Linked DNA regions of Elephas maximus indicus. The protein of the gene in region 1 interacts with the protein of each later gene in a pairwise test. Links are inferred from orthologs where the notes say so. Each region holds a gene or a part of one and is shown in the gene's direction. Other genes may lie near its edges. The genes, in order: AHCYL1 and SLC23A1.

Region 1 (7,839 bases):
AAGATGTGGCAGTCTGCTTCCATAAAGATTTACTGCCTTGGAAACCCTATGGGGCAGTTCTACTCTGTCCTATAGGGTCACTGTGTGTCAGAATCAACTCCATGGCAATGGGTTTATTGTCACCCAAAGGTCCCTAGGTAGTACAAGTGGTTTGCGATCAGCTGCTAACCTAAAGGTTGGCGGTTCCAACCCACTCAGCAGCGTAGAAGGAGAGAAAGAGCTGCTTCCGTAAAGATGACAGCCAAGAAAGCCCTATGGAGCAGTTCTACTCTGTACAGATGGGGTCGCCATGAGTCGGAATCGCCTCAACAGCTGCTAACAACAACATCACCCAGGATCTCCAGTAATTTTCCCCCACTAGACTCCTCCTTCAAAAAGAAAAAAAAAAAAATTTTTTTTAGACTCCTCCTTCTCCTGTGCTTATGATCATATTTATCATTATTTTGAATGTAGTCTACACAGGGGGAAAAAAAAAACCTGTGAGAATAAAAATCTCTTTAAGGCTTCTAATTTCACTTGATTCTTTTCAATTTGCAGAAGCTCATTTTTACATACCTGCCATCAGTGTGTACCTGCCATTTTCCGTTCTGCTTTGATTGAATTACAATATTTCAAAAACCTATTACCACATTCCCAAGTGCCAAAGTAGAGCCTGACCTGCAGGAGGTGGAAAGCCTACAGGGAGTACCCAGCCTTTGTCTGGTGGGGTGCCAGGCTGGGTGTGAAAGGTGCCAACCAAGGCTCCCCTGGGTCTCGGGGACAGTGTGTTCTGCAGATGTATCCAGCTCAACATCTAAAGCTGAGCTCTCATCTCGGCGGCCCTTCCACCCAGACCTGCATCTCCTCCCATGTTCCCAGTGGCTGTGCACCACCACCCACGCATGGGCCACCAAGCCCTGCATGCTCTGGCTCCAGCTTCATATCTCCCTCGCCCAACTTTGTACCCTATGTTCCACCTGTGCAGAGATATTTCAGCTGCCCTGCCTTTTCTCATGCAGTTCCTTCAGCCTAGAATCCCTCCCTGCCTTGTCCAGAGGCAGCTCCAGCAGCATCTCCCTCTAAGACGCCTTCCCCAATCACCCCCTATTCCCGTCCCCAGGTAGAAATCAGGGACCTCATCTGTCTCTGTAGTCCCAAAATCTAGCGCCACTCCTGAACTTCTTCAGCACTCAATATATATTTTATGAATAAAAAAAAAATGTGTTAATGTGGAGGGTAAATTTTGGGACAGACAGAAGAGTGAATTTGGCTAACCAGAACAAGCCCATGTGTGGTACCCTAGGGCCACTACATTTCTGGCGACAGCATCTCCTACTTCACCTCCACACTCACCCCAGTTCCTTCTAGAACACGGTCCCCTCTGGTCTCCAGGCCCTTTGGAGACTTCCCCTCACCACACACAACACATGCACCTGTCATTGGGTCCCTGCTCTTCTTAAACCTGGTCTCTGGACATTTCTCTCATCTGTGTTTGGATTGTGCTGTTCAGAGCGGTGGGCACTGAGTCAGGTGGTGGGTGGTGGCAGACAAATCATTCCTGGGCACCCATGAGAGGCAACCCCATTAGCTGGGCCGGGTAGGGCCATCTTAGGAATGTGTGGCAACATGCAATGGTTCTCAACGACGTTAGGTTGCCACGCTCCCTGACTGGGTGAGCTCTTTGATCTCCAGTGCACACACGGTGCAGGGTGGCAATCACCTATGCCCTCTGAAGTGGGAATGCCCCTAGACCTTGACCTGACATGAACTACAAAGGCCCACTGCCTTTCTACCAGAGCAGGGAGTGCCGCCCCTCCCATCTTCCAGCCTAAGCACCCCCAGCTCCCCTTAGTCGGTCTCACTAAGCCTCTACTTGGGCCAGGCATTCAGGTAAGGGGAGTCTGACCTGCTGGTCTCCTTCCTGGCCCAAACTGCTAAGGCACTGCCTCCTCTAGTCCTGGCCATGTCTTCACCATGCTGCAGCAGCAGCCAACTCTATGAGCCTGGTGTGAGGGCAAGCCTGTGAATTTGGTCCAGGAGGAGGCAAAGAGAGGCTGAACTTCAGTCTCCAGGAATCTCACAGTCTGAAAGCTAGAAGGCACAGCAGGAGACTGAGAGGCAAAGCACTTGGATGATGAGATTTTTAAAAATCAAATCCAAAAGCCAGACACGTCTCTTCCTTTTTTTTTTTTTAATAAACTACCCTAAGCCTCCTGGTTTTCTATCCAAGGTTCTAACTGGCTCTGCCTCTGTTCTTCGAGCAGGTAGCTCTGATCCTGAGGCTCTGACAACAGTTTGGGCAAACCCACAGGACGGAAGTGACCGTGGGTCTTATGTTCAGAGGGTGCTGGGTGGGCCGGTTGTAGTGTCTGGCTCCAGCTGGGAGATGAAGAGAAAGGTGGCACTCTGAACCCTTATGGATGAATCTGGTGCTCTGGTCCCCCATCTCTCTGCCCCTTCTGCTACAGGGATGTAGCAGGGAGAGGGAGGTCTGGGTGCTCCGAAGAGTGGGCAGATGAGAGAATCCCAACAGCCCAAGACCAGGTCTGCAGAAGTGAGCGTCCTTCTAGGCACTTGCATAGCCTGCTTCAAGCAGACAGCCTCAAGAGGCTGGGTGTTTGGAATGTATACTTCTCCAACTAAGACTCCCGGGACCCCCAGAAGTATTTCAACCTCTCCCCAACCTTGAACACATGCAAGTGAGGAAAACATCATTTCAAACCACAACTTTGTTCTCAAAAGTGTTGGCCCTGTTAAAGACTTAATGGGTTTCTGGATTTTAAAAGGTGGGCTTGTAGAGGAATTTAGGAAAAAGGCCCTGGGAAGGCTTGAATTGTTCAGCATTGTAGAGAGGAATCTGGCTTCCCAGAATCAGTCAAGAAGGGAGGGGTGGGAGGGGAGTAACAAGAGGGAGTTAGATTAGACGGCAGTGGGCTAAGGGGTATGGCCAGTGAGAAATCCCAAGTGGTGAGACAGCCAAAATAACTTCTCAGAACATTTCAGAAATGTGATTTTAAATTGTTTGCTGTGTGATGTAACCTCTCCCCTGTGACCCACAAGCCTTCATTAAAAGTTCTGCTACATGTTACAGCCTTACTTTTGTAGTTGCTTTGGGGTTGGGGATGGAGGTTGAAAGAGAAGGGGCTGTGTTTCATATTTGGAACACAGGAGCTAAAGAAACAGTTGCAAGACCGGAGCAGGGAGTAAAACTGGGGCCAGAAGTGACCATGAACATGTAAGCCCACTCAGTAATTCACAGAAATCCTGGCAAGGGCATTGGACTTTCCACAGGACATGGGAATTCCAGCCAATGTCATTTCAATCTCAAGGGACAAGCTACCTCAGCTGACATTTAGGTTCCATACAGGTTCTGCCTCTCCAGCTGGACTTGCTGGCTGCTGTGGAGTTGATTCTAACTCATAGCGAGCCCAGGTGACAGAGTGGAACTGCCCCATAGGCTTCTCTTGGCTGTAACCCTTACAGAAGCAGACTGCCATATCTTTCTCCTCCGGAGCTGCTGGGTGGGTTTGAACTGCCAACCTTTCGATGAGCAGCTGAGCATTTAACTGTGGCACCACCAGGGCTCCTTCCAGCTGGACTAAGCCCTTGCAAAACATAAAATGTGTCACGCATGCCTTTGCCATCCAAGGTCTTAGCGCAGGGGCTGCACACAGTAAGCAAAAAAACAGTAGTGCCCAGTAAAAGTGTGTGAATGGCCCATGAGTGCCCTGGGTGCCCAGTGGGAGTCGGCAGAGCCTAATGCTTGGGTGGAGGATGGAGCAGGAAAGCTTTCAGGCTGGGGACTTCTCCCGCCTTACTACTGCTTTCCACCCTCTGACCCAGCATGGCTATGCGGCCTGAAGGTCTTGTAAACAGACAAGGCCCAGGCAGAGGCGGTGTCAGTGCAGGTCACAAAGGGTTGTGCAGAAACCAGATAGCTCTGATTTTGTTCTGTCCACCCCTGTAGGGTGAGAAGAGGCAAACATGGCCTCTTAGGAGGGGGCAGCTGGTCCAAAGGGCCTGGGGCAGAGGCAGTGAGTGAGTGAGTTGTCCGTGGCCCCGGAACATTCCTAGGAACGGCTGTAGGATATGACCTGTAGGGTTCTGGTCTTTGCTCCCAGCATACCCCTTACGCCCTCTGAGATCTCGCCTCGCCCGGAACACCGCAGTCCAAAAAAAAAAAACCGTTACCGTTCAGTCGACTCCAACTCAAAGAGACCCTACAGGACAGAGTAGAACTACCCCACAGGGTTTCCCAAGAGCGGCTGGTTAGCTGACCTTTTGCGTAGCGGCGGAGCTCTTAACCACTGCCCTACCGGGGCTCCCCCCTACAGCCCAAATACCCTCAAGCCTCTGGCATCCAAGCAAGAACCCTGAGCCGCTCACAGGGCTGATGGCGCCACCTGGCGGCACAAAGGGTCCGGCTCACCCTGGGACGGAGTTTTACCATCAGCTAGAGAAAGAGGAGGTGGCTTCTGGGGCCCAGCCCGGTCCAGCGTGATGACGTCACGACAGAGCCCACTTCTCCCCGCCTCTTCCCCCTCCCAGGAGTTGCCAATACTTAACGTGGCGTCCCGCCCTCTGCCCTTACTTTGCGTGCGTGTTTGCGTGCGGCGGAGGTGGCGGCGCTGGCCGGTGGGAGCTCCGCGCTGCTGCTTCTGGTGCTCCTAGCGCGGCCGTCCGTGTCCCGCTGTGTTGAACTGCCAAGCTGACGAGGCGTCGGCCGCAGCCCCTTAGAAGCGAACGCAGCCCGAGTTGGGGCCGGGCGGGAGGGCGGGCAAGCGCGTGTCGGAGGGCGCGGAGCGAGCAGGCGGGCGGACGCCCGTGAGGGAAGGAGGCGGGGGCGGCGGGTAAGCCGCGGGCCAGGCCGGCCGGGGGATGTCGATGCCTGACGCGATGCCGCTGCCCGGGGTCGGGGAGGAGCTGAAGCAGGCCAAGGAGATCGAGGACGCGGAGAAGTACTCCTTCCTGGCCACCGTCACCAAGGCGCCCAAGAAGGTGCGGGGGCTGTGGGTGGCGGCGGGGGCCCGCCGGGCCTCGCGGAAGGGGCGCGAGCGAGCCCCGGGTCCCGGCTTCGGCTAGTTCGGGACTTCAGGGGCGAGGGTTTGGGATGATTGGGGACAGCAGAGGTGGTGTGGGGTGGCGGGTGAACGGCCCCAGGCCCATCCCGAGCTGGAAAGGCCGTCCGTGACCTCGCTTTCCTTTGTCCCTCGGCCCTAGCCCTCTAGGATCTTTCTTAAACCCGACAGGGCCGGGCCTTAAATTTCCCACTGAGTTTTCCTGGATGAAGGGCCTCGAGGACGGGAGTGAGGGGGTGAACAAACTCAGCCGGCCCCTACGACCAGCCGCGGGGGCGGCGGGGGGTGGGTTGTGCAGAGAAGCTCCCCTCAGGTGAGTGAATGAATCCGGCAGAGCTTTTTCGGGCAAGTCTTTGGGAACAGTGGTCGTTTTATCCAGCAACTGCGTGATAGCTTGGAGGCAAGAGAAAAGAATGCGTGGACCCAGCGGTTTTATTTAGGTGAAGGCAATGAATGCACCGTGAGATTGAAAAGAAAACTATGATTTTCACCTTCTACGGTCTTCCTGTTGCTTTGACATCTCTAAGGAATTAACGTTTGGAGGTTGGTGACAGCAGACACTGTCATGGATACAGGTTGATCGAGAGTCGTGTGAATAGATCACTTAGACATCCCTTGAGAAAGGAGCTTGGGTGGGTTGGCAGGGTGGGCGGTAGGGAATGATTGCTCATTCTTTACTGCTCTTATTGAGGCAGAACAAGTTTAGTCTGTTGTGCTGTGGGTTGAACTCAAAGGACACCCTTCTGATCCTCTTGTTGTGGAAGATTAAATGGAACTCTTTGGAGGTTTTAGTCCAAACACTTCTCCAGGTGGTGGAATTGGGGTCCCTAGTGCTTCCTGATCATTTACTGCCAACCACATCTTGACTTTCTACATACCTGGCACCCAGTTAACAGTAGACCAGAGAATCTTTGCAACAAAAAGGTGACCTTTCTGAAACCAGTGAGAACCCGGATAATTTCTCTCCTATATAAAGACAGAGTCTGTCAAAGCTACCTCTGCCTGCAGCGTTTGATGGGATGCAGTGCTTGTATAAGCTGAACAGAGGCTTGCAGGAGTTGTTACAGTCCTTGAGGCTCCTACACCTGAACTGGCTAAGCTATCTTAAGTGGGAGAGATGACATTTAAAATGAAAGAATTTAACGCACCATTGCAGATACCAAATGCCACATTGAAAAGACATTGTGTGTGTGCTGTCTCCTCCCCTCCCCCCCCAAAAAAATTGAGATCTTACCAACGAAATGCCTAAAAGAGATTAAGGACCATCCCTTGGTTCTAAGGAGTCTTGATTAACTGTATTTTTACTGCTCTTTGGTTCAGCTGGCTGCAGGGGGCTGTAACTCTTTGTATTCTGCACAGTTCTTTGGAGAAACAGTCACTGCACTTAGAGGCTGAATGGTTATAGGTATTATCTCGGGGAATTAGAAGGAAGAATGGGAAAGCCCTGATACCCTAATTCCCTGGACTCTTACTCTCCCCATTAGCCCATCTTTTGTCTAGTTGCTTCAGGGTATTAAGTGTCTTTATTCTTATTTGTGAATGCCACCGTGATAAGACAAAGTTTGTATTATAGTTTGTAAACTTTCATAAAGGCAGGGCCTCTTTATGCCTAGCTCTGTACCTAGATACTGTACTCAAATATTAATTGCCCACCTGGCTAACAAGTAACTGAGATGTCAGGATGGCTGCCTCCCAGAAATAAATATCCTTTTTCTCTCCTCTTCCCAGGAGGAATGTTGTTAATGTGTATTATTGTAAGGCCAAGAGCTAATGATTTTCGAGACTTGTATTCCATCAGCTGAAAGAAGCAGTCCCGGCCAGGGATGTGGGAATGCCCTGTTGTTAGTTTCCATTTGCTGGTAAATGTGCCCCCGTGTTTCTTATTAACCTTGCTCTTTCTGAGCTTTATTGCTTAGCATTTACGCAGCACTTGTATTAAAGTGCTTTATGATGACTAATTACTCTTCCCCTAGTGATGATAAAAGGCATTTATTTAGTTAATGGGTCACTTGAGGACTAGTTCAAGGTCACATATCAGGTCCTAGGTAATCCATATTTCAGAACTTCAACCTAGTTGGACATTATGACTTAAGTCACTTCTGTACCTCTGCCACGTGCCGATAACATGAGAAAGCATGGAAAAATAAGAGGAAAAAGGTAGTTTGGCATGGTACTGAATGGTATGAGAAAAAGACCTCCTGAAATGGTGCCAGTCCTTCACCTTTCACCTGTGAGGATTCCAACCTGGCTCTAGACCAAGAAATCCTTGAATCATCCAAGCCTGGAGGCCCCAGGGAAATGAGGGCATTTCTGGTGCCAGTCAAAGAATATAGGTTATTTCAGGGTGACCTCGATGGTCCTGCATCAGATTCCAGGGTAGCTTCCTGGTGAGCTTTTACTCACTTTGTTTGCTTTGCTTGGAGTTGAGTGGATGTCCACCCGTTCAAAGCAGAGGTATCTGGATTCTTCAGCTATAATAATGACTTAGTTTTGTGTGGCCCTGGGGTCTAGCACAGTGCTATGTAAATAATAGGGCTTGTTGGATTTCACAGTTTGATCTGGGTGTCAAGAAGCCAACTAAATGAGTATCTCGTTTAGCAAATGAATTTAGCATCTGCGCTTCAGTTTTCTCATCTTTCAGATAAGTACTTGTTAAGAATAGGTGGAGATAGAGGCATGTTGGAAACTAAGATAGCAAGAGGGCTTTTTAAAAAGTCTATTGGTGTATTTATACTCCCTCTTTTTAAAGAACATTTGAAATGGCTTATAACACAGAACACAT
Region 2 (7,223 bases), on another chromosome or scaffold:
CATTGCATATGATGGCCGAAACAACTGATGTAAAGTGCCTGTTTCCTGCTGTTGTCTCTTAACACCCCATCCCCACCCTCCCGCCACACACACACATGCCCTCTCATGCCTGGGTATGGCCTGGGTAGAGGGGACCCTAGGACTCAGGGAAGGAGACCATGTGTGTCTTTCACATATGGTGGCATCCCACTCTTAGTGAGCTTGACGTGCCTCCCAGGGAGGGAGCCCTAGGCTGTCAATCACACCTGGGGCCTCTTTCCTCCTGGTAGCTGAGCAGCTGATAGGCTTTGCGATCAATCAGGCCTGAGTTCCAACTTTGGCTCTGCCCCTCTAACTGGGAGGCCTTGTAGTTGTCATTTCTCCCTGAGCCTCAGAGTCCTCAGCAGTAGAATAAAGATGACAGTAACCACCTCCTCCCACAAAGTGCTCAGCACAGCGTGTGGCACATGGGCAGACCCCAGGATGTGGGAGGTACTTGTTCCCACATGTTCTTGCCCTGGCCTCATGGTTCCCTATCTGCAAAATGGATCTGAGATGACTGGAGCCAGGCAGTCCCGCCAGCCAGAGAAGGTGCACACGTGGCATCTTCAGGGCCCTGGGGGAAGGGAGAAAATGGGAGGGGTGAGGTGTCAGTTCCTCATTGGGCTGGGCCAGGCATCCGTGGCAGTCCCCCCACACACATGCATATGCACACTTGCATGCCAACACATCCCATGCTTGCTGAGCTGGCTCCAGGGGCCATGAGGCTGTCACTACCACTACTACTGCCACTGCTGGGGGCCTGGGCGATCCCAGGGGGCCTTGGGGACAGAGCTCCGCTCACGGCCACTGCCCCACAGTTGGACGATGAAGAGATATACTCGGTTCATATGCCTACTCACCTGCGTTGTGATGCCTGCAGGGCCGTGGCCTACCAGGTAAGCCCCTGAACACTCCCCCTGCCCCTGCCAAGCCCCCTCCTCAAGCCAGACCCTTCCATCTACCTCAGATTCCACCACTGACCTTTGAGTCCCCCACTCTCAGCCCTAGGCAGTAAGCCCCAGACTCAGCCTTCCAGGATATTAGCATCCTCACTTCATCTAACCCCCCCATGCCTCAATTTACCCATCTGCCTGCTCAGCAGAAAATAACATTCTGGAATGCCTCAAATTGTTTTGATATCCCAGGGAATGACTCTCTTGTCCTATCAGACCCCTCCCTTTCCAGGTCAGTCTTAGTTATCTAGTGCTGCTGTAACAGAAATACCACGAGTGGATGCTTTAACAAACAAATTTATTCTCTCACAGTTTAGGAGGCTAAATTCAGGGCACCAGCTACAGGTGAAGGCTTTCTCTCTTTGTCAGCTCTGGGGAAGGTCCTTGTTGTCAATCTTCTGCTGGGTCTAGGAGTTTGTCAATAGAGGGACCCTGGGTCCAAAGGACACCCTTGCTCCTGGCTCTTCTTTCCTGGGGATAGGAAGTCCCGTTCCTCTCTGCTAACTTCTCTCTTTCATATCTCAAAAGAGATTGACTCAAGAAACAACTTAATCCTGTAAATTCTGTCCTGCCTCATTAATGTAACTGCCTCTAACCCTGCCTCATTAACATCATAGAGGCTAGGATTTACAACACATAGGTAATTACATCAGATCACAAAATGGAGGACAACCACACAATAATGGGAATGATGGCCTAGCCAAGCTGACACACATTTTTGGAGGATACAATCCAATCCATGACAAGGTCTCTCTTTACATCTGAACTCCGTCCCAAACATGACTGGGGTGCCTTTGTATCTCTGCACATGTGTTAATGCATGCATATATGAGTACATGTCTGAGGTCACGTATACGCCTGTTGAGCATACCTGTGCCTCTGTGTCTGTATGTGTGCATGCACATGGGACCGTGAGTACGCATGGCACTGAAGACTGAACTCTACTTTTTTCCCCACCTTGATGCATGGTTTAAAATAGCATGTACTAATGGGCAGTGGTTTCAGGGCAGATGTGCTGGGAGTAGGCACAGGGGACCCTGTGCCCAGGCCTCAGGTTTCACTTGAGAGTTTCCTACTCCGCCACCATCCTAAGGAGTGGATCCTGCCTGGGCTGGCCCCGGGCCCAGGTTGTGGGGACTCAGGGAGGGGCCGTGTAGCCCGCCTCACAGGTGCTTCCTGCCCAAACTGCTCCGTTGCCACCTCAGACTCTCCTGAGATCTCACCCCTGGATGCAGTCTCCTCCCCCTACTCTGCAGTCCCAAAGCCCTGGCTCACAGCCCCTCCTTGTTCCAGATGTGGCAACATCTGGCAGAGGCCGAGGCCAAGCTTCATACCCCAGAGTCTGGGAGGCGGCGAGAGCTGAGTGAGTCAGTGTATACAGATGTCCTGGATCGAAGCTGCTCCCAGAGCTGGCAGGGGTGAGTTGTCAATCCAGCCCTTTCCCCTCACCTCCAGGGTCAAGGCTGGTGGGTAGAGATCCCCACTCTCCAACTCATACCACACACACTCCACAAGGGCTCTGGATAGAGTTTGGGGCTAGCTAGGGTGAAGCCTGGACTCTGGAACTGGGAGCAGGTGGACCAGTGAAGTGGCCATTGGAGGAAACATGGACTCACTGGCTTGTTGTGGCCAGGGATTTCCCTCTCTGGGCCACAGTGTTCCACCAGGGAGGATCAGCTCTGGGCACTGAACTTAGCAAATGCTGACAATGCCGTCGAGTATCCCCAGCTTCATGTGGAGATAGGCCCCTCCCTGACCAGGCTCCCAGTAACGCTGCATCCTTCTGCTCCCCACTGTCACCAGCTACGGGGTCCGAGAGGTGAACCAGGTGAAACGCCTCACAGGCCCAGGGCTCAGCAAGGGGCCAGAGCCAAGCATCAGCGTGATGGTCACAGGGGGCCCCTGGCCCATCAGGTGATGACAGTGGGAGGGAAATGGGATGGAGCCCCGGTCTGCCTCTGTGGGGTGGGCAGAGTCTGAGCTCCTGTTGGGCTCCCCTAGGCTCTCCAAGACGTGTCTGCACTACCTGGGGGAGTTTGGAGAAGACCAGATCTATGAAGCCCACCACCAAGGCCATGCGGCTCTGGAGGCGTTGCTGTGTGGGGGTTCCCGGGGGGCCTGCTTGGAGGAGGCATCCATCACAAGGGAAGAGCTCTAGTCTGACTCCTGCTTCCCAGTATCAGCCCTAGAAGCTGGGGCTTTCCTCTGTAATCATCCCCATTCCCTTCTGCAGGCTGGTCCTGAGGGCAGGGAGGCCTTGCCTTGCACTGCCACTGTCTCTCCCTCCTCCAGCCTTGAGGCACTGGGGTCTGGGTGGGGGCCAAGGTCTTCTCCTCTGGATTCCAATAAAACCCAGTGACCTTGACTCCTTCTCTCAGCAAAGGGTGCTTGGAGGGCTGAGAGGGCAGACATAGGTGTTTCTGCTAATGCTCCTCCTGGAAAGGGCCAAATATACGCCTACGACTTCCCAGAGGTGAGAGAGCTCTACCATGGTAGGGAATGGGCAGCAATAAAGGCACAGGGACCCAGTTACATGCACAGCGTAACCCCAGGTCTTCAGCTCTATCATCACAGAAAAGACCAACCAAGGGAATCTATACAGGCAGGCCACTTTGTGGACACACCTACTGTGGCCACTCCATGCTCTGTGCCCAGAAGGCTCACGGGGCAATGGCCAGGGACTGATCACTTTCAAGACTCTGCTGCCTCTGACCCCAGTGGCATGATTGAGTCCCTGCCTGGGACAGGGCGGGGTGGGCTTCCTAGGACTAGCTGGATTCAACATCTTGGCTCCAAGTCCAGCTCTCCTCAGTACCTCCTCTGGTCTGGGGCCCTTTCCTTGAGAACAGACCCGTGATCCCTTACCTGGATCTGTGAACTTGGGGTGAGCCCTGGTCCTGCACCTGAATCTGGGAACCTGGGGTCAAGTGGGGTGACAATTTTCAGTTTCATTTGTGAGCGTTTCTGTTCCTACCGGAGCCCTGGGAGGTGACCAGAACAGAGACTCTAATCCCCATTTGACGGACACAGAAACCAGGGCTTAGACACCACAAGAGCTCAGGCTAAGTCCCAGACTGGGTAGTGGCAGGGTGGGGGTGGGGGGGGTGTGGGGAGGTCAGCTACTGGAGGAACAGGAATACCCCATGCAAGCCAGGACCACTCCAGCTTCCCTGGGGCTGAATTGCTGTCCCAACCTCCACATTCCTTCACCTGTTCCAGGATTTGCCTGAGGCTCCTTCTTCCCTGGCCCTCAACCTAGAGAGAACCCCTAAGCACCAGGAGGAGGGCCAGGGCCAAGGAACCGGATGAGCCGTCAGTGTATGGGGTGTGGAGTTGGGCACCTGTGACGTGGACCTGTGTGATCTTGTGTTTATATAGATTGATTCGGAGACATTCTTTGCAACAGAGTCTCTACGTCTATTTGCACGTCCATGTACCTGGGACCATGAGCAACTTCCCGTCCTGTCTGTGTGTTGTGTGGCTTTGGTTGAATTGTGTGTCATGGGGCTGTAAAGGGTTGGGCTCTGTCTCCACAGCCCCCTGGGGAGCATTGGGAGGAGAGGGTGGGGAGAAAAGTTCTGAGGAGCGTGCCTCCAAGCTCTGAACTGGTCAGACAACTTTGGGAACCTGGAATTAGAAGCCAAGAAGGGAGAGAAGAGGATAGACCGACAGACGAAAGGGCTGGAGGCCAGACCGGCACACAGGCTGTGTCATGAAGCTGCTGCCCAGCTGGAGAGCAATGCTGCCCACAGGTCCTCGGGGCAGGGCCTGGCTGTGGACACAGAGACCCAGAAGTAGGTGGGCCCTGGGGGGCTGGGGGTGGGGCAGCACAGAAGGTAGTAGAATCTGGGACCCTAGGCCCAGCACCCACCAGCTGAGGAGCTTTGAGACTCTGGGTTCCTCCCCAGCTACCCTTCAGCCAGCCCTCAGACCCCAAGGCCAGGCTGGGCTGGGCCTGCCAGGAGGGTACAGGCCAGGAGTAGGGCTGGCTGCATGGGCTTTTGATGTGTACCCTGCACTTAGAAAGCCCCCATGCTCCATTTGATACTCTGCTGTTGTCATCTTAAAATTCTTCATAATTTTTGAACAAGGAGCCCAACATTTTCATTTTGTACTGGGCTCCACAAATTATGTAGCTGGTCCTGGCATGGGAGGGAAAAGGAATCTGGGCCCTGACACAGGGACAGGGCAGGCCAGGTCTGCCTGGGCAGCTCTTTCTTCAGAGGCTCCTCTATGTTATGTGCCTCAGGGACCCTAAGTGGTGGGGTGTGGGGAGGGCAGGACTTTATCACACATAATGTGATGATTTATACCATAGGCTCTGGAGTTCAGACCAATGTGAATTTTAGGAATTTTTTTTTTTTTTAGAACTTTGCTACCTGGGTGATGTTTGTCAACTCACCTCTTTCTGAATCTGTTTTCTCAACTGTAAAAGAGGATAATTCCATCCAACACCATGGGGTTAAACATGACAGTACATATACTTTGCTCGGCATGTAGCCATTCCTCAGTAACAAGAGTGGTTATGATGATGATGATAATGATTAACTTGTCATTAATAAGTGGGGAAGGGCCTCATACAGGGTGTGGCACATGCTAAATGCCCTTTCTCCCTCCCTTTCCTCAAACCTCACCCAGTTCTTGGTAAACTTCCAAGACTCCCCACTGCCCACCCACCCGCCTCTCCAGCCACCTCTTGGCAAACAAGAACAGGTCCCATGCCCAGGCTCAGGTGCTGGTGGGGAAGGGAGCGCTCAGGAGGGAAGTATGGCAGAGGCTTGGCGGCCTTTACCACTATGGCCAGAGTTAATACATTACCTCCACCTGGGTTCTACTTTCGCAATCCAGTGCTGGGGCTCTGGTTACAGATTTACTACTTCGAACAATGTCTGATGTGTAAAGTCCTCCTTCGTAAAGTCCTTTCCTTTTCTCAGGAACTGCTCACAACAGTGCCCGAAAGATGAGAGTCCAGGAGGACCCTGAGGGCCAGACACAGGTGCTGGGGGATGGGTAGGACCTGGGCGGTGAGGTGGGGGCCGGAGGGCAGAGAAAAAGGTTCTGACGAACTTGATCAAGAGTGACTGCCCCAGGCTGAATGTGGGAGTTGGGGGCTGGGGTAGGGACCAGTAGGGGTTCTCAGTAATACCCCAAGGACCTCTAGGGAGTAGAGGACCCAAGTTGGGTCCAGGGAGAGCCTGTTTACAGTCTTAAAGCCACTTGGCTCCCTCTCCTCCTCGCCCCCAGGCCACTTGACTTAGGCACCCATTCCCCTGGCTAGAATGTCCGGGTCCCAACTGCTCCAGGAGCCAGCCATAGCACACTCATCCATGCATAAAGCAGCGTGAAGTAGAAGCCAAGTGTGGCCGGGTTGAGTGACAGCTGGGTGGATGGACTTGTGTGGGAGGGTGTGGGGCTCCAGGCTCGGATCCCCACTCTGAGGAGCTGACAGGCCACTCAGGCTGATTGTTTCTGAAGCAGGTTGGATTTTGCCTGTCCCCCATTACTCCACCTGAACTACTTCTCTCTGCTGCCCTCAGCATGAATCCCTGGACTCAGCAGCCACCAGGGACCCCCAGATGTCCCTGCCCACAGAGTCCAAGTTTGACATGTTGTACAAGATCGAGGATGTGCCACCTTGGTACCTGTGCATCCTGCTGGGCTTCCAGGTGGGCTTCCCCCCAGGGTCTTTCCACCCCTCACTTTGGGCTCTCTCTGATCCCAGCCCTCTCCCTGGCCAACGGAGTTATCTTGGGTAACAGGAAGAGAAAACTAAGGTCAACACAGTGGCTGTCACCAAGTAGAGGTAGGGAAGAGGCCTAAGAGAGGATTAACCCTCTAGAAGCATTCATCCCCCGCCAGTTGGAGTGTCAGTGGCAGGGAAGAGTGCTGGCTCCACAGAAGCTGTGGGGATAACTCGAGGAGATTAGTGACCCCCAGAGAGTTGAGTGGTAGCTCTCTGGGAATCCCTCATGGGGATCGTCAGTCCTGGGTAGACCACTGAGGCAGGTGAGGACTATTAGGGTACCCCTGTTTCCCCTGAACTCTGTAATCCTTGGCTCATGCACTCCCCCTGCCCCCCAGCATTATCTGACATGCTTCAGTGGCACCATCGCTGTGCCCTTCCTCCTGGCTGAGGCGCTGTGTGTGGGCCGTGACCAGCATATGGTTAGCCAGCTCATCGGCACCATCTTCACATGCGTGGGTATCACCACCCTCATCCAGACCACACTGGGCATCCGGTGAGCTGCC

Evidence for each region.
Region 2: the proteins of AHCYL1 (region 1) and SLC23A1 interact in binary tests that used the Homo sapiens proteins (3 or more experiments, as listed by UniProt). The two-hybrid records come from large-scale screens. The link is inferred for Elephas maximus indicus from reciprocal best matches to the Homo sapiens genes AHCYL1 and SLC23A1.

Annotation. Positions count from the first base shown.
Region 1 is NC_064821.1:171,380,678-171,388,516, reverse strand, and holds the start of AHCYL1 (S-adenosylhomocysteine hydrolase-like protein 1), read left to right. Parts: upstream 1-4,765; 5' UTR 4,766-4,857; coding exon 4,858-4,977; intron 4,978-7,839. UniProt on the Homo sapiens protein: Multifaceted cellular regulator which coordinates several essential cellular functions including regulation of epithelial HCO3(-) and fluid secretion, mRNA processing and DNA replication.
Region 2 is NC_064820.1:152,516,183-152,523,405, reverse strand, and holds the start of SLC23A1 (solute carrier family 23 member 1), read left to right. Parts: upstream 1-4,200; 5' UTR 4,201-4,686; coding exon 4,687-4,768; intron 4,769-5,908; coding exon 5,909-5,970; intron 5,971-6,511; coding exon 6,512-6,640; intron 6,641-7,055; coding exon 7,056-7,213; intron 7,214-7,223. Other genes in the region: MZB1 (marginal zone B- and B1-cell-specific protein), read left to right, coding at 681-917, 2,268-2,392, 2,778-2,888, 2,976-3,132.